2 linked regions of the Alligator mississippiensis genome follow. The protein of the gene in region 1 interacts with the protein of each later gene in a biochemical or structural test. Links are inferred from orthologs where the notes say so. Each region holds a gene or a part of one and is shown on either strand. Other genes may lie near its edges.

What was found. The genes of interacting proteins can lie anywhere in the genome.
Region 2: of the proteins of PTPRC (region 1) and CSK, one has a biochemical effect on the other in vitro, tested with the Homo sapiens proteins (2 studies listed by IntAct). The link is inferred for Alligator mississippiensis from reciprocal best matches to the Homo sapiens genes PTPRC and CSK.

What each region holds. Positions count from the first base shown.
Region 1 is NC_081828.1:67,012,394-67,020,100, forward strand, and holds the start of PTPRC (receptor-type tyrosine-protein phosphatase C), read left to right. Parts: upstream 1-4,700; 5' UTR 4,701-4,715; coding exon 4,716-4,848; intron 4,849-5,637; coding exon 5,638-5,778; intron 5,779-7,707. UniProt on the Homo sapiens protein: Protein tyrosine-protein phosphatase required for T-cell activation through the antigen receptor. Acts as a positive regulator of T-cell coactivation upon binding to DPP4.
Region 2 is NC_081834.1:41,574,553-41,582,277, reverse strand, and holds the start of CSK (tyrosine-protein kinase CSK), read left to right. Parts: upstream 1-4,714; 5' UTR 4,715-4,729; coding exon 4,730-4,756; intron 4,757-7,725. UniProt on the Homo sapiens protein: Non-receptor tyrosine-protein kinase that plays an important role in the regulation of cell growth, differentiation, migration and immune response.

The DNA.
Region 1 (7,707 bases):
TGCGATGCTGCGGCTAGTAAAGCTACCAAAACTCTGGCTTGCATCCATAGATGCTTCTCAAGCAAATCCCGGGACGTCATTCTCCCCTTATACTCAGCCTTGGTGAGGCTGCAGCTGGAGTCCTGCGTCCAGTTTTGGGCTCCACAATTCAAAAAGGATGTGGAGAAGCTTGAGAGAGTCCAGAGAAGAGCCACGCGCATGATCAGAGGTCAGGGAAGCAGACCCTGCGATGACAGGCTGAGAGCCCTGGGGCTCTTTAGCCTGGAAAAGCGCAGGCTCAGGGGTGATCTGATGGCCACCTACAAGTTTATCAGGGGTGACCACCAGTATCTGGGGGAACATTTGTTCACCAGAGCGCTCCTAGGGATGATGGCTAGGTCGAACAGTCATAAGCTACTACAAGACCGTTTCAGGCTGGACATAAGGAAGAATTTCTTTACTGTCCGAGCCCCCAAGGTCTGGAACAGCCTGCCACCGGAGGTGGTTCAAGCACCTACATTGAACACCTTCAAGAGCAAACTGGATGCTTATCTTGCTGGGATCCTTATGACCCCAGCTGACTTCCTGCCCTTTGGGCAGGGGGCTGGACTCGATGATCTTCCGAGGTCCCTTCCAGCGCTAATGTCTATGAAGTCTATGAATTTAGTAGGTTGGGACCAATCAAAAACCATAATATATAACTTTACATAATATGTAAGTGTAATATAGGGTAAAAAGTAGACTACAATTCCCAACTACAAAAATGGAAGTGTAACATAATCTTCTTTTAAAATTGTTTTTTTTTTAATGCATTTGTTCATTGCCATAGAGCTTGGCTGGCTACCATCTGAACTTGGGATGATATTTAAACAAAAACAGACCTAGATTTTGTTGTTCTTACTAAATTAATTTAAATACTTACTTCACTGGGACTACTCCTGTATTCGTGTCCTGAGCAGGGGTAATCAAATATGGCCCTAGTTCAAAATCAAATTTTGAATAGGTCAAATTATATTTTGTCAAATCTAGTTTATAACTGCCTAACTTTAGTTCATAGGTTGAATGCCTAACAATATAAAAAATATATCTAGATATCAGGGTAAGTCAAAAAACAATCAGTATAAGTCTGGGGAGGAAACGCCAATTCTCCTCTCCCAACTAAGAACTGAAAGTATGGCATTAATGATGATGAATGGATTTCCAATTGTTTTAAATTAGCATACTTGCTTTGACTTCAGTGGACATATGATAATTTACGTCATCTGAGGATCTGACTTATTCCATTATATTGTAACTTGTTAATGTTAAAAGGATATACTTAGTTTTTATTGCCAAATTGAATCAAATATTAACTAATGCTTCTAAACAAATGAAAATATATAAAAACGATATTGCAAAGTGACAGGTAGCAACCTTTTACCATTTACATATCTGATCTATCAGTTTCCAGTTCTCAGACTTTAAGTTTTGTAGAGCAGTGGCACACTTTTGAAACATGTTCAGAGCCTTTGATGACATGTAAACAGTGGGATGGGTATTAGATTATTTCCTAATGAACAACAGCCACTAAGGAGTTTACTGTGTGCATTGTTCTTGTACCTTGCAAGTGAACTCATTGTGTTTAATGGGACTACTCAAATGCTTAAAATTAAATGCATGCTTACATTTCCTGTTGAATTAAGATGCAAAAGCAAAAAATTGTTTGCTGAATCAGGATTGATTGATTTTTAATGTATGGACTCAAAAGTGCTTAATCTTCTTTTGACATTTACCCCTTATTTTATCTCTTTTAGGTCAAGCTGAAATGTCTACTACACCTAGTAAGACAACTCTCTTCTTTTTTTCATTACAGCACTACCTTACTTCTTAGTGAAATTAGCTTGTATTATATTGTTGTTAATTACTAATAAGACAGTTAATTTAGTTTTATCTTCTGGAATGTTTAATATCTTTACATTTAGAACACTGAAAATGTGGAATGAAAATAACATGAATCAATTTATAAAGAAGGGACAGATGAATAAGTTTTCTTGTTTCTGAATGTGTAATAAGTATTTCACAGATACTGCATTATTCATTAGACAATAAGCTCTTCAGGTAAGGATTTTTTTTATATGTTTGTACATCATATAAGACAACAAAGTCCTGGCCTCTAAGCAGAAATGTAATATATGTAATTAATACTAGAGCATGGTAGGTTCTGAAATGACATCTACTACAATACATAGCAAAATGCTCATAGTTACTTGGTTTTGTTATAATGTTGGATAGTATTTTCACATTTTTCTTCCCTCAAACTTTTACCAAGGTTTACAAAATAATTCAAGAAAATTAATTACATTTTAATTTAAACTTCTAACAACTGTGATCCTAAGTTCACTCAGATCAATCCATTTTACCACTCAAATTAGTAGCATAAAATCACATTAAAATTTTAGTAGGAGTAATATTAATACAACATAGAAATTCGATTAACACATTTTAAGAGGAGTAACTACAAAACCTAAAAAATTAATATAATCTTAAATTGGCTGTTTTTGGAATCATACTGTGACAGACTTGTATTTGAACCTTTGAATGATGTTTTAACAATATCACACTATGTGTAGTCCCCCTTACTCATTTTGATTCATGTTTACTGCATTGTGAATAAGTATATCAGAATCTAATCTGTATTGTATATCTTACATAATGTCTGATTTCACCAAGGCTATTGTAGGTTGTTCCTTGGGAGCTCACCAATATCATTAGTACAGTTAGTGATGTTTTCTATGCACCATATTATTCTGATGATTCCTTTCCCTCCATCACTGATGATAGGAAACTCAAGTTCCAAATTTTCTATAGTCTTTTATTTACACTTGTATCTTAAAAAGAATATATCTACTTCACAGCTGACTTAAGATATATGTACACCATACAAAGTGCTTTGCCAACTCATCAATCCCAAAGGACATCTTAGTATGATTTTGGTGTCCTGAGGTCATATTTCTTTTAAATCATGCATGGATTGAAAGGTTATAGTCTTGTCTCAAACATGAGGGAAGAAAACTTTTCTCTTTACAAGTGCCACCTGTTTCCCTAACATTCTAGAAAATTTCAGTTATTCCCACATTTATTCCCCCTATAAGGGGCATGCATTAAAAAATGCAAGGTGTTGTGTATACTGAATGTTTCTTAATTCTGCCACTCTTTGGGTTTTGTGCACTTGAGCAAATCACTTAACTAATTGCATAGATGTCTCTAATAGGATTTAAGAAGCAATTTTGACTTAATGATTTTGCTCAGATATGACTGGACAAATTGTCTTACTAGCTTTAAATGAGCTTTAGATAAGTTCATACTTGTTTTTTTTTAATGATTGTTAAAAATAAATTATTTTGTGCATGGCACCCATTGGGTACATACACAAGTACAAAGGGCATTTGTACACATGCTTGTGCCAGAGCTCTGGGTGCTTTTAAAAGCACACGGTGCTGTGGCGCATGCATTTTTATAAAGAGCAAAATGCGCGTTAGCACTGAGAAAATAGCACACTTTTAAACTAAAAGACATTGAAAGTGTTTTAGTTCAAAAGCTCACCACCACCATTTTCTCAGCATTGACATGCATTTCACCATTTATACAAATGCATGTGACACAGCTCTGGGTGTGCCAGCTTGTATGCAGAGCAGACTTGATTAATCTGGTGTGAAGTAGCTGTCAAATAGATGAATTGAGTCTGCTTTGACAAAATCCAGCACATCAGAGCAGGCAAATGTATGTGTATAAATGCCCTAACTTTCTGACAGTTGACTTAACTTTTTCAAGTTGACTTAATTGCTAGAGCATAAGCACATATAGGGAGCACAGTTGACTTAAATGTGGTGCAAGATCATACAGCTCCAAGGTGTATCATCTTGAGTTGCATTATTTAAGTTGACTCTAAGTGCAAGGTGTCAAGGAGCTGTGTGTGTGTGTGTGTGTGTGTGTGTGTGTGTGTGTGTATGCTTCAATGTGGCTTAACTTAAATCATCTTAGTTAAGGCAACTTTAAGTCACTTTATTTTAAGTTGACTTAGTACGTGTGTACGCACCCAACTACTTCACAAAATAGATGGCACATTCTGCCTTATCCTGATACCACTGAAGCTAAATGGAAGTTTCACCTTTGACTTCAGCAAGAGAAGTCAGTTAATAAGAACAGAGCACTCAGAACTTTAGGTGCTGAGCTTGTAAAAGCTTTATATTTCCAATAACTTTGCTTACATTGTATTTTTCTATTTTTGCCAGTTGTTTTTTATGCTACAAACTAAATACAATTGATTGCCCACCAAAATAAAGGAAGAGCTAATACTGTATAACCATGCATCTTATAGGGTATGCCTGTACTTTACTCAGAGGTCTGACATCCCCAAGCTGCCTTTAAGCCATGTAGCTCAGGGAGTGATAGCAGTGTAGGTGCATTTAGCACAAGGCTGAACACAGAATAATTGCTTATTTACCCAGTGTCTGTGATTGGTTTTACACCTTATGCTTTTCTTCATGCTCCCATGACTATACTGTTACTGATAACCAGGCTAGCTACTTCAAGGTGAGCTCAAGTATGTTTATGACCTGAAGTCAGACCTCAATTCCCTTCCTTTTAGTACTTTTTTCCAAGTACAGCAACTTAATTTACATGGCACTATCATTTTCTGCATATAGTATATTGGGAAACATTAACAAAAATAATTGTACTTCCTTGCTACAGGTATCATGTCAACACGCAGCTCATATACTACCACTCATGCAGACTCAAGCTCTTCATTTGGAACCAGCAATCAGACACTCAGCAGCTCTGCTGCCCTTACCGCACACACTTCTGCTACCACCATACATAAATCATCAGGTTTGCTGTATTCCTTTAGATGTCCCAGGTTGTCAGTAGTCCTGTCTTGATTTGTTCATGGGGAGGAGTTCTATATGGGTTGAGAGTGGAGTAATTCTTAAAACAGCTCTTCCTCAGCAAAGCATGACCGTGTTAATACATGGCACAATTAATGCCCAAAAAATGGGCTTCTGCATTTTATTTCCAGATTGTATCTTATGGCTTGATCTTGCATTCATTTTTCTCACAAGTCTCCTAGGCATTCAACAACAATTTTGCAAGAGCAAGGATTGCAGAAGTGAGCCCATAAAAAAACTGAATAGAATTAGTAGTTTCTAATTAAAATGTGGTATCTATAGTACTTTGAGATTATAGTTCTGATCATACAAGCACTTGGAGGTGAGAAAAATGGTTCCTATGGAAGTAAGTTTGGCAGAGTTTGCAGATTTTTGGTACTATGGTAAGGAATAAGAATTATTATTTTTCCTAATTTGAGAGAAGGACAAATTATGAAGCCATTATGATGGCTGAATTCCAATTGATTTAGTTAGAATTTTTGTCTCACTAATGATGTCAGGATTTAATATATTATGTGGACATCTGAGGTTATTTTAAATTACAGTTAATATTTTTGGTTTTCTAAATGAAAAGACTAATAAAGCCTTATTTATGACTCTGTCCTTCATCTGTTGTGATAAGATATCAACAACAACAAAAAAACCCAACAGGAAAGATACACTTTTAATACGAACACACAGACAAGCGGAGAGAATCTCTTAATAGTATTTTGTTCTGTTCATTTCCTTGCAGATTATTCTAATCCATCACCCTTGCATGCCTCCACGTTACCATCCACGACTCTTACTCCATCCAGCAATTCAACAAACATTTCTCAGTCTTCTGCAGACATCTCACATTCCATGGCTACAACTGCTTCCAGTCTCACAATAGGTGACAGACCTGCACACAGTTATACCTCATGCATGTGAAATGTCAGAGCCTAAAGTGGCTTTATCTTTGAAAAATAATAAAAATATGTTTTGTCACAGATTCAACTGAAAAAACTAATTTTTTTTCCAGGCTGCTTACTATTGTCAATTTGATAGTTAAATTTTATTTAAAAGTTCATATTTCCTTTATGAAAGTTATGAACAGGAAGTATTATTTGTTCTTTCATCAAAAAAAAAAATGGTGAAACCTGTTTTTATACTTCAATAAATAATTATCTTCCAAGTAATTGGATTCTATTTATTTAGTAGATATCATGATTGATACACTCTCTATTCTATAATTCTGACTATGTCCTAGCTAGATATTCCAATTTTGATGAAAGAGTAATATCACTCATATCTTTAATACCATATCAATAAGAGAAATAATTTAGCTTGTGCATATGGAACTATAGGTTGTAAAACATATAATGGGAAGTTATAACTTATAATCAATTATGCAAACAGATATAAAATACATGCTGGGCATGTCTACACATGAATTTATGCGTGCCTAAACTTAATGCACCTTAGCCTAAGGCGCATTAAAGTGATTTAGATGTGTGGCTACACATGCACACCTTAAGGAACCTGAATGCGGATTGCTGACTGAATGCATTGGCAACCTGCCCTGGGCAGCACCCTGGATAGTCCACAGGAGTCCATGGCAGCATAGCTGAGCAGTGCAGCCCAGTGCTGGCCAAGGGAGTGAGAGTCTCCAGTTCTCCCAGATGTGATTGGCTCAGACCTGGACCTGGCCCTAGCTCCGGCCCTAACTCCCTCCCCATGTTCCTGCCTCCCTAGCATTGGATGACAGCAAGCTGGAGCCAAGCCTGTGGTGTTCTGCACTGCTGCTGGATACCATCAAGAAGAAGACACGGCGAGTGCTGTTCTGCAAGGTGCAAACACTGGAGCTGGAGTGCCAGTTCCAGCAGCAGCAGTACCTGTCAGCGTGCTGACTGACATGGAACTAAGTTGGCAGAGAAGGCACGAGGGCTCCTGTCAGAGCATAAGAGAGAGGCCTCCTGCAGCTCCCTGGGGGGGAGAAGAGGGCAGCGCAGCACAGACGGGGCTTTTGCTAGTGGCTCTCCCATGCCTTGGAGCAGATTTGCTGGCCAAGCAATGCAGCCCTGCAGGAGTAGGATGCCTTGCTTCCCACTCAGGATTCAGGCACCCTTAGAAGCCTGTTCTGGGATCCCACCTGGGACAGCAGGCAGACTGGGACTGCATCTGCCCCCAGCACCTGGCACAGCTTTCCCTGCTCCACGCACCTCTTCCCCAGGCAAGAGCCTGGCCTTCCTGCTGGACACTGCTCATCAGAGATGTGGCATGAGCTCCTGGGGCCTCTGCATGGCTCAGCCCAGGCAAGCTGGATGCAATGCAGGTGGAGGCTCAGCCATGGATCAGGCAGTCCAGAAAGAGCCTAGCCTCTGCCCACGTTGCTCCTAGCCAGCCCAGGCTGAACCATGCAGAGCCCCATGGGCAGTGTCCATCAGGGCAGCTATGCACTTTCCTGGGGAGGAGGTGGGAGAAGCAGAAAAAGCCATGCCAGGTGCTGAAACAGATGCAGTCCTGCCTGCTGTCCTGGGTGGAAGCCCCAGTGTGGGCTCCTAAGGGCACCTGAATCCCAGGCAGGCAGTGAGTCACCCCACCCCTGCAGGACTGCATTGTCTGGCCAGCAAACCCACCTCGAGTGAGAGGCAAGCAAAGGCCCTGCCCATGCTGTGTTGCCCCCTTCCCCACCAGGGAGTCACAAGGGGATCTTTCCCTTGTGCTTTGACAGGAGCCCTCACACCTCCTGCCCGCTCTGCCAACTTAGTCCCAAGTCAGTTGGCACACCTACAGGTAGTGCTGCTGCCAGAACCACCACTCCAGCTCCAGTGTGTGTGCC
Region 2 (7,725 bases), on another chromosome or scaffold:
CGTGGAATTCCAGGCTGTTTGGCAGGAAATCAAATAGCCAAATGGTGCGGTTGGAATGAAATGGGCCGGATAACTGTGTGACCTTGGTGGTTTGGGGTGGCTCAGGCAGAGGAAGAATTGACCCTCGGGCTTCAGGGCATAGGCAGGGGTCAGGAAGGAATTTTTCCATGTTCCACCCCTACGGTACATGTGCTGGTGTGGAGAATTGGTGTGGAGCCTTGGCTATGCTGGCGGACAGGTACCAGGGGTACCATGCTCCATGGAACCAGCAGTTGCCTCCAGCCTATTTCTCTTTTCAGGTTTCCCATTGTTCACTCCAGCAAAGGTTTACACCTTTGCTGATTGGGCTGGTGCTTCAAAGCATGGAATTCACCCTCATCCCCATGCAAGCTTGTTCATTTTAATTCAGGCCTTTTATTTCATTCTCTTTTGTTTGCTTTCTTCTAGTGCTGGGTCCCTTTGGAGTTGCCAGGGCCTCCAGGTAGATGCAAGGGACTGCCGGTCTATGACCCTTTTAATACAGAGGGAACTCTGGAAAAATGTTGAGTGTGCAGTGGGACACAACACTCGCCCCAGGATGGTTTATTCAGGGTTGATCCTGCCTTGAGCAGGGGGCTGGAGTAGATGGCCTGGTGAGGTCCCTTCCCTGCTTTTGTGTGACTCTTTCTCGGAGGTGTTCTTGGCTCTGGAGTTGAAAAGAGAGAAAAATCCCATCCACCTTTAAAATTCAATGGGGTGTGAGGAAATCTGAGGGAACAAGTGGTCTTAGTTCAGGAGAATAGCTACTGACCCCTTGGCTGGTGATTGGTAAGGCCAAAGGTGGCCTGGCCCCCTCCGTCTGATCCCTGATGACTGTGGGTTGCAGGGGGCAACTTTCCCAGCTGTTGCCTATTTTTCCTCCACCTGATGACTTTGGTGGAGCTGCCCCTGCCTGCCCCATGGCTGTATTTTGTTCTGTGTGTGTGTGGTTCTGTGTATGTGTTTAAGGTTTTCAAATCTAGCTGCTCTGGGGGGTTCCCCCAGACAATCAGCACAGGGTGCAGGGCTGAGTCTGTGGCTGGCCTCTTTTCCCCTCTGTAACAATTTCCCATCAGTGCTACTACTCGTTCAGCACCACTGCCCTGTAGCGAAGGGGGTAGGAAGACTAGAATAGTAATGGTTGCAGCTGGCAATAACTGTCTAACCCAGTGGTTCTCAACTTTGGTAGACTCAAAACACCCTTCAATCAGACTTGAGGACCCCCTCAGAAAATGGCAGCTCTTGGCTTTCACTCATTTCTTGAATGTGGAAAAATGCTTCCTCAGCCTGATGAAGGGTGTCTTGCTAAGAAGAATTTTTTCCAACTATTTGAGTTGGTCTAATAAAAGATATTGGATTTACCCAAAGAACCTTGTCTGAAAAATACCAGAGCAGTTCTTCTGTTGCAAGGGACTCGGAAAGCCCACGGCAGGGAGGAACGGCTTTGACACCCTGGATCCCTGTTTGAAACCTCTGGGTTTATCTTGTGAATCTTGTGTAGGTGTTCACACACCTAAGGGTGCTAATATGGCACAGCATCCCACAGCACCCTTGAAAAGATCTCATGGCACCCCAGAGTACTGCAGCACCGTGGCTGAGAATCGCTGATCTAACCCATTTGGGGCAGATCCATATGGCTAAAACTCAAGCTGTGATACTGCTTTTGTAGTTGCTGTCATTCATACAGTTCTGGAGATGGCAGGGGTGGGGGGGGGGAGTGTTTGGGGGGCGGAAAAGCATAGGGTAAACAGTAAAGGAAGTGAATCTTTCTTATCTGTGTAAACTGTCAACCTTCACTGCTTCCCTCTATGGTGAAACTCGCTGTCCCAGCACGTGTGAAGCTCAGTTACTGTTCTCTCGCATGGTAAAGCTGGGGATAAAAGAAAATAAGATGACCCAAGCTGTTTGGAACCCGATGGGGCTGGCTTATCCCACGAAACAAAGAGACCGTCTTGTCTGTCTGCCCCCGTTGTATTGCAGATCACGTCAGAGCCCGAGTTCTGTTGTGCGCGGCAGTCCCCTGTCGGTGCTGGCTGAGTCGAAGGCACAGTTTCAGTTCAGTTTGCTCAGCTCTCTTTGGCTGGGTTGCAAAGCTTTTAAACCTCAGAGGTAGCCTGCCTGCAGTTTGGGCCTCCGTTTGACTGAATTGCAAAGCTGAAGCGAAACCAGTGGAAGATACTTTTGGCCTGATTTACAAGAACGGGGCATTTGCGAGATTTCATTCAAGTAATTTCCCAGGCAGTGCCCTTCAACTGGTCCTCGCACTGCACACGGACTAGACTTACGGAGTTGGACGCATGGTGCTAGCCTACATTTGGGGGGAAGGAAGGATAGATGTTGACACTGGTTATACTGGTGTGATCCTTTAGTGGAGAAATAGCAACCCTGTGCCAATCATGGCTTGGGATGTTGTGATTTTGGGGTTGGTTGGTTAGAACCTGCCTGAACCCCAGGCCTGAGCTGAGGTGCATAGATTAGCTAAAAATATACCAGAGGAAAAAAAAATCAGGTGTAGGTGGGCTGAGTTTAAAGCACCTGTCCCAGAATAGTTCCTGTTATTATAGGCATCCAATAACATCAGCTTTCTGCCAAATTTTCTTTCTCCTTGCGGAAAAAGTCCTTTCCACGAGACCAAGACCCTGACTAGAAAAGAGAGGGGCATCAAAACCCACTGTATATTTCCCGCGCTGTGAAACTCGCACAGCCCAACCGATCAAGCAAAAACATTCTTCTTTTGTTTTTTCTTTTTTTCTTTCAGTTATGGTAATTGTGGGCATTGCGTGTTATGGCAGCAGATACAATCTTTTGCTGTGCGTTGAGGCTTTTTTTTCTAAGTTCAGTTTCATTTCATTCAGGAAGGGGAAATATAAGTTGAGCATTAGGAAATGTCTGATATTGGGATCTGGTCACTTAGGGTTAGATCACCCCAGGTGTTAAGTAGGGTGGGTTATCAGGAATATTCATAGGGTCCAGGTCTTGACTGCTAAGCTTTTTGTCTAGAATGGGGTGGGGGGGGTCGTCTAACAACTGGCCTGCAGGGTTTCTGGAGGGGCAGGGAATAGGGCTGGGGGATGAGTGAGGGTAGGGCCCGTTGCTGAGTTCTGGGGTACGGAGCCCAATTGGGGATGTGTGAGAGTGGCTGTGGGGTGAATGATGGCTGCATTAACCCTTGCTCTGCTTCTGGGGGTGGGTCCAGATCTGGCCTGTCATCCTGATCCTCCCCGGGGAAGGGGGCAGGCAACCTTGGCAGCCCTGGTTTACAAGGAAGGCTTCTGTCTTCTGGGAAGGACCTGTCATATCTGAGTGCTGCCTCCTTGCCTCTGAGGGCAGAGACCACTCCGGTGCAGCTGCAGCTCCCAACCTGGCCCAGCAGCAGAATGAAACCCAGGAGACTTTGATCAGTTTTAGTCCTCCTTGTAGAGGCAGGAAAGGTGTGAAACCCAGTAGACTTTCCCTTGTGGGAGGGTGACCTTTAAGCAGCAGCAGAAACCAGTCCTAGGCCTGCTTGCTGCATGGGAGGATTTGAACAGTGGAGTGGGGATGGCAGGTGGGCAGAAGATGTGGGCACTTTCATTAGAGCTGCCAAGGTACGGGGGCAGGTCAGCATGTACCCAGCCATCAAGAGAGTGAGGAGGCCTGGAGCCACAAGGATAGTCGCTCCTTCCAGCCAACAGCTGCGGACAAGCCGAGTGGGGGATACAAAGGATGAGGCCCTGTATAATTGAGGCATCAGCTAGCAGGGTGAAGAGCGACAGACATCAGTGCTTTCTCCCTGGCTTGGGTGAGGGGTCACCTCTGATCACTCCATTTCCCACTTCAGTCTGCTTCGAGCAGGGGCCAGGGACAGCCTCTGCATAGGAATTCCCACGCATCCCCTCTCCCCAGCTGCTGGGAGTGGGAGCAGGATTTCTCTCTTGTTGGTAGGACTTCTTTCCCAACCCACGGCTAGCAGGTCAGATCTGCTGGCTAGTTGATGGTTGCTGAGTTTTTTTCAGGCCTGGCTGTATCTTGTGGAATGGGCTGTGGTTGGGAGTGGGTGACGCGGCCATCGGAGAAGTAGAATCTACGGTCGTAGCCACTGCCGGACAGTTGTGAATCAGCCGAGGGGCGGACTAGGGATAATCCAGTGGGATTTGTCCGGTGGCTTTAAAAAAACAAAACCAAACTGGCAGAAACAGTGCTACATTCACCCACTGTCAAAGCATCTTGTGCTCTGCCTGCCTCCCCTCCCTCCTATAGAGGGAGATCAGCTCCAGGGGAGGTCCCTACAGACCCGGGAGCTAGGCTGCCTAGGGAGCCTACGCTATGATTTCCTTATTGTGTGCAGCAAAGTTGTGAACTGGGTTTGAAATGAAAATGCACTGTTTCCCATGCGCACGCCCCCCCACCCTCCCTGCCGCTCCTCCGCACTCCCTGCCCTTGCGGTGGGGTTAGGAATCGATAGCATCTGGCCGCCAAGCGCACAGGCGGATGGACCGGAGCGACTGTGCTCTCAGCTCCCGGTGATTGCAACCTCAGCTCTTGGTGCAGGATTTTCCTTTTGCATCAGGCACTGTGGGGGTTTTTTCCCCCCTTCTTCCCCCCTCCGTCCCCCTCTCTGACTGGAGGAACTGCAGGAGATGAAAGAGAAGCGGGGATCTCTCAGTGGAGCCCGGCAGCCACCGTCTCACTGATTCCTTTGCTTCTCTGCTCTCCTGTTATGTAACCAAAGATGCTTCTCAGCTTCTGCTCTGGTCTTGTAAGTTTTTCTTTCCCTCTCTTTCTTCCTCCCCACTGTATCCCCCCCATACCACCTCCCCCCTGGCCCTGACCCACCTTGGAAAGGCATAAATAACTAAGACTGGCTGAAAGGCTGCTGGCTGGGCCCCGTGCTGCAGAGGCTCAGCACTGCATGGTTAGGATCTGCTCCAGTCCTCTGCCTGGTGCGATGGCGTTTGGCCCAGGCAGCCTTCATGCCACCGTAGATCCCAGCAGCCTCCACCATTGTAGAGAAAGGCTCTGTTATAGCCTGTGGCTTCAATGGCTGTGCAGGTCAGTCGGTGGTGGTGGTTGCGGGGGTGGATCCCTGGTCTCTCTGCTGCAGGCAGTGATGAGGAGGAGTGTAGGGGAGAGTGTGTGTGTGTGCTGGGGGCAGGGGTGGCCAGTTTTGAGGGGGATGGAGGGTTGGGCTTGTCACTTGGGTTACCCCCCACCCCACCCGCCAGCAATCACAGGGTTCACATCTGCTGTGCTGTGGGATGAAGAAGCAGGTGCAGGGTGACGAGGGAGATCGGACCAGCTGTGGGATGGGATCTGTGGGGGTGACTATGATTCCTCCTGGTTCTGATGTGTGGGGGAACATGCTGAGCAGGGCATCTGGCTGAGCAGCTGGCTAAGCCTTGGGTTTGAAACTCCTGTCGCCCGAGTCTCCTTTGCATTAAGGCTGAGGCTCCTGCCCAAGCCTCGCGGCTTCTGCTCGCTCGGACCCTCCCTCTTTGTTTCCAGAGTCAGGTCGATGAGAATTGAGTCCAGAGACCCCCCCTCCATTGACTGGCAGTCAGGAATTGCAGCCGGTTGCGCTCGTCCACTTTCCCCTCGGTTGGATATGCAAGTTCCGTGAGGCTCGGCTCTGTGGTCAGTCTTGGCGGCTGTGGTCCAGTCTGTGCTGCAGTGATGGGAGAAATCCTCCTGGCATGATGGAAACATCAGGCTGGCTTGATTGTGCTTGGCTGCCTTTCCTTCCTTCCTCCCCTAGGCCAGCTGGGCTTAGACTGGCGGTTGCCTTCCTCCCCAGAAATGGCTGCACTTGAGTGGTATTGCATGTGTACAGGTTGCAAGCATGGTTTCAAGTTCCCCTCTGTAGGCACCATCTTTGGAAATACAGTGGAAAGGGGCTGCACCTTCCCCCTTGATCCACAGAAGGTTTTCGCCAGTTAGTGAGGGGGATGTTTTAAATAACCTTCCTCACCTGCCACCTAGCCCTAAACTCTACCTCCCCACCTCCCCCCCACTCTACAAGCCTTGGCAAGGAAGCCTTCCAGCATGCCACTAATTCAGGCTCCAGTAGAGCAAGTGAGGAGCAAGCCCCAGGGTTGAGGTTTCTCCTAGAGTGTCCCAGCTTTGTCAGATAGCAGTCAGCAGCTGGGAGAGAGCTGTGATTTCATAGGGAACCAGGTCCTGAAGCGTAAAGCTTTGCATTGGTGCCTTGAGTTTATGGGAAAGTAGGGCTGGAAGGGACCTTGTGAGGTCACCTCGTCCAGCCCCCTGCTCGAGACAGGATCATCTTTGAGTTTCACCTGGATGTGTGTCGGCAGGTGGGGGCATCTCTCGGAGCAGGGCAGTGGTGTGCTCCTGACGTGTGGCTCCCCCCGGGAATCCCCCTGCGGCACTGTGTGCTAATCTCAGCATGCAGCAGCGCTGGGAGCTTCCGTTGCTGCCAGGTGACAGAGGCATAGGTGACTGTGGCAAGGTCCTTACAGTGGAGAGGAGAGGCTGCCCCCTTCCTCCAGGCACCCGTAGGAATCACACTCTTGACCTAAGGGCACCCCAGCCTGGTACAGGACAGCCCCTGCGACCCTGGAGATAGTAACAGCAATTGTAGAAATAAGCAGCTTTTATATGTCGACTGTGGCTCTTCAGGCTGTGAACTCTGAGCCTCCAAAATAAGCAGGCCATTGTTTTTGAAAGCTTGCACATCTCTGATTTAGTTAGCTTATTGCAGGGGCGGCCAACCTGTGACACAGGCAGTGTTTGTGGATTTGCCCCTCACAAAAGCAAGGCATCTGTGCGGGGGGTATCTTGCTGCAGTACAATTTCATTGTATTGAGTTCAGCAGAGCCGTTGGGGAATCGCTTGTGATCTGGTGTTCTTGGCTGCATCCAAAAGCCCAGCGAAGCCAGCGGGCATCTTTCTGCTGACATCCCTGGGTGTTGGACCAGTTGCCCTGGAGCAAGTAATGGAATAAATCAGGTAGGGACCTAGCCCAATGATTGCAGGCTTCAGACCCACTGGAGAAGCTGGTAGGATGCTGGAGAATCAAAGTCCTATTCCTGGACCGTTTGCATCCATAGTGATGACCTGTGGCTGCTTAGCAGGGGAGGTGGGAGGAACCACGGAAGCTGCCTGTGTTCATGGACAGCACAGACCCCTCCCCCTTTCCTAGGCCATCTGCCCATGTTAAGGCTGAAGTCAGCTTCCCACGTTAAGCCTATTCCCACCCACATGCAAGAGAATCTGCTCCCATCTCTCTCTCAAGGCCGGCAGCAGCGTCCATGTCAGAAATGCCACTCTCTGGCCTCCTCCCTGGCCCTCTCTGCAGGCCGGACCTCCAGACATGTGGGCAGAGGGGAGGACTCCACACTACGCCTTTTCTGTGTTGCCTTTGCCCTACAGGCAGTTAACCTTTCAGGATCCACTAGCTTGGAGGGGGGAAGGGGAGGGGATCAGCTGCCTCTGGTATTGATTCGGTCTCGGCTCTGACACGAGGGTCAGTAGATTTGTGCCAGGGCCGTTATCTGCGGGTTCTAACCGCTCATCGTCTCCCAGGATGGGCGAGGAACCACAGCTGGCAAAGAGCCTCTGGCCCAGCCCGGTTGATCACTTCTTCCCCACTCCCCTTCCCCCACCCTTGTCTGTATTTCCTCCTGAAACAGCTCGTGGCTGGAGCTTGCCTCCTCTCCAGCCAAAGCAGGCACATTTTGAGGGGGAGGAGCCTATGACATGAACTGT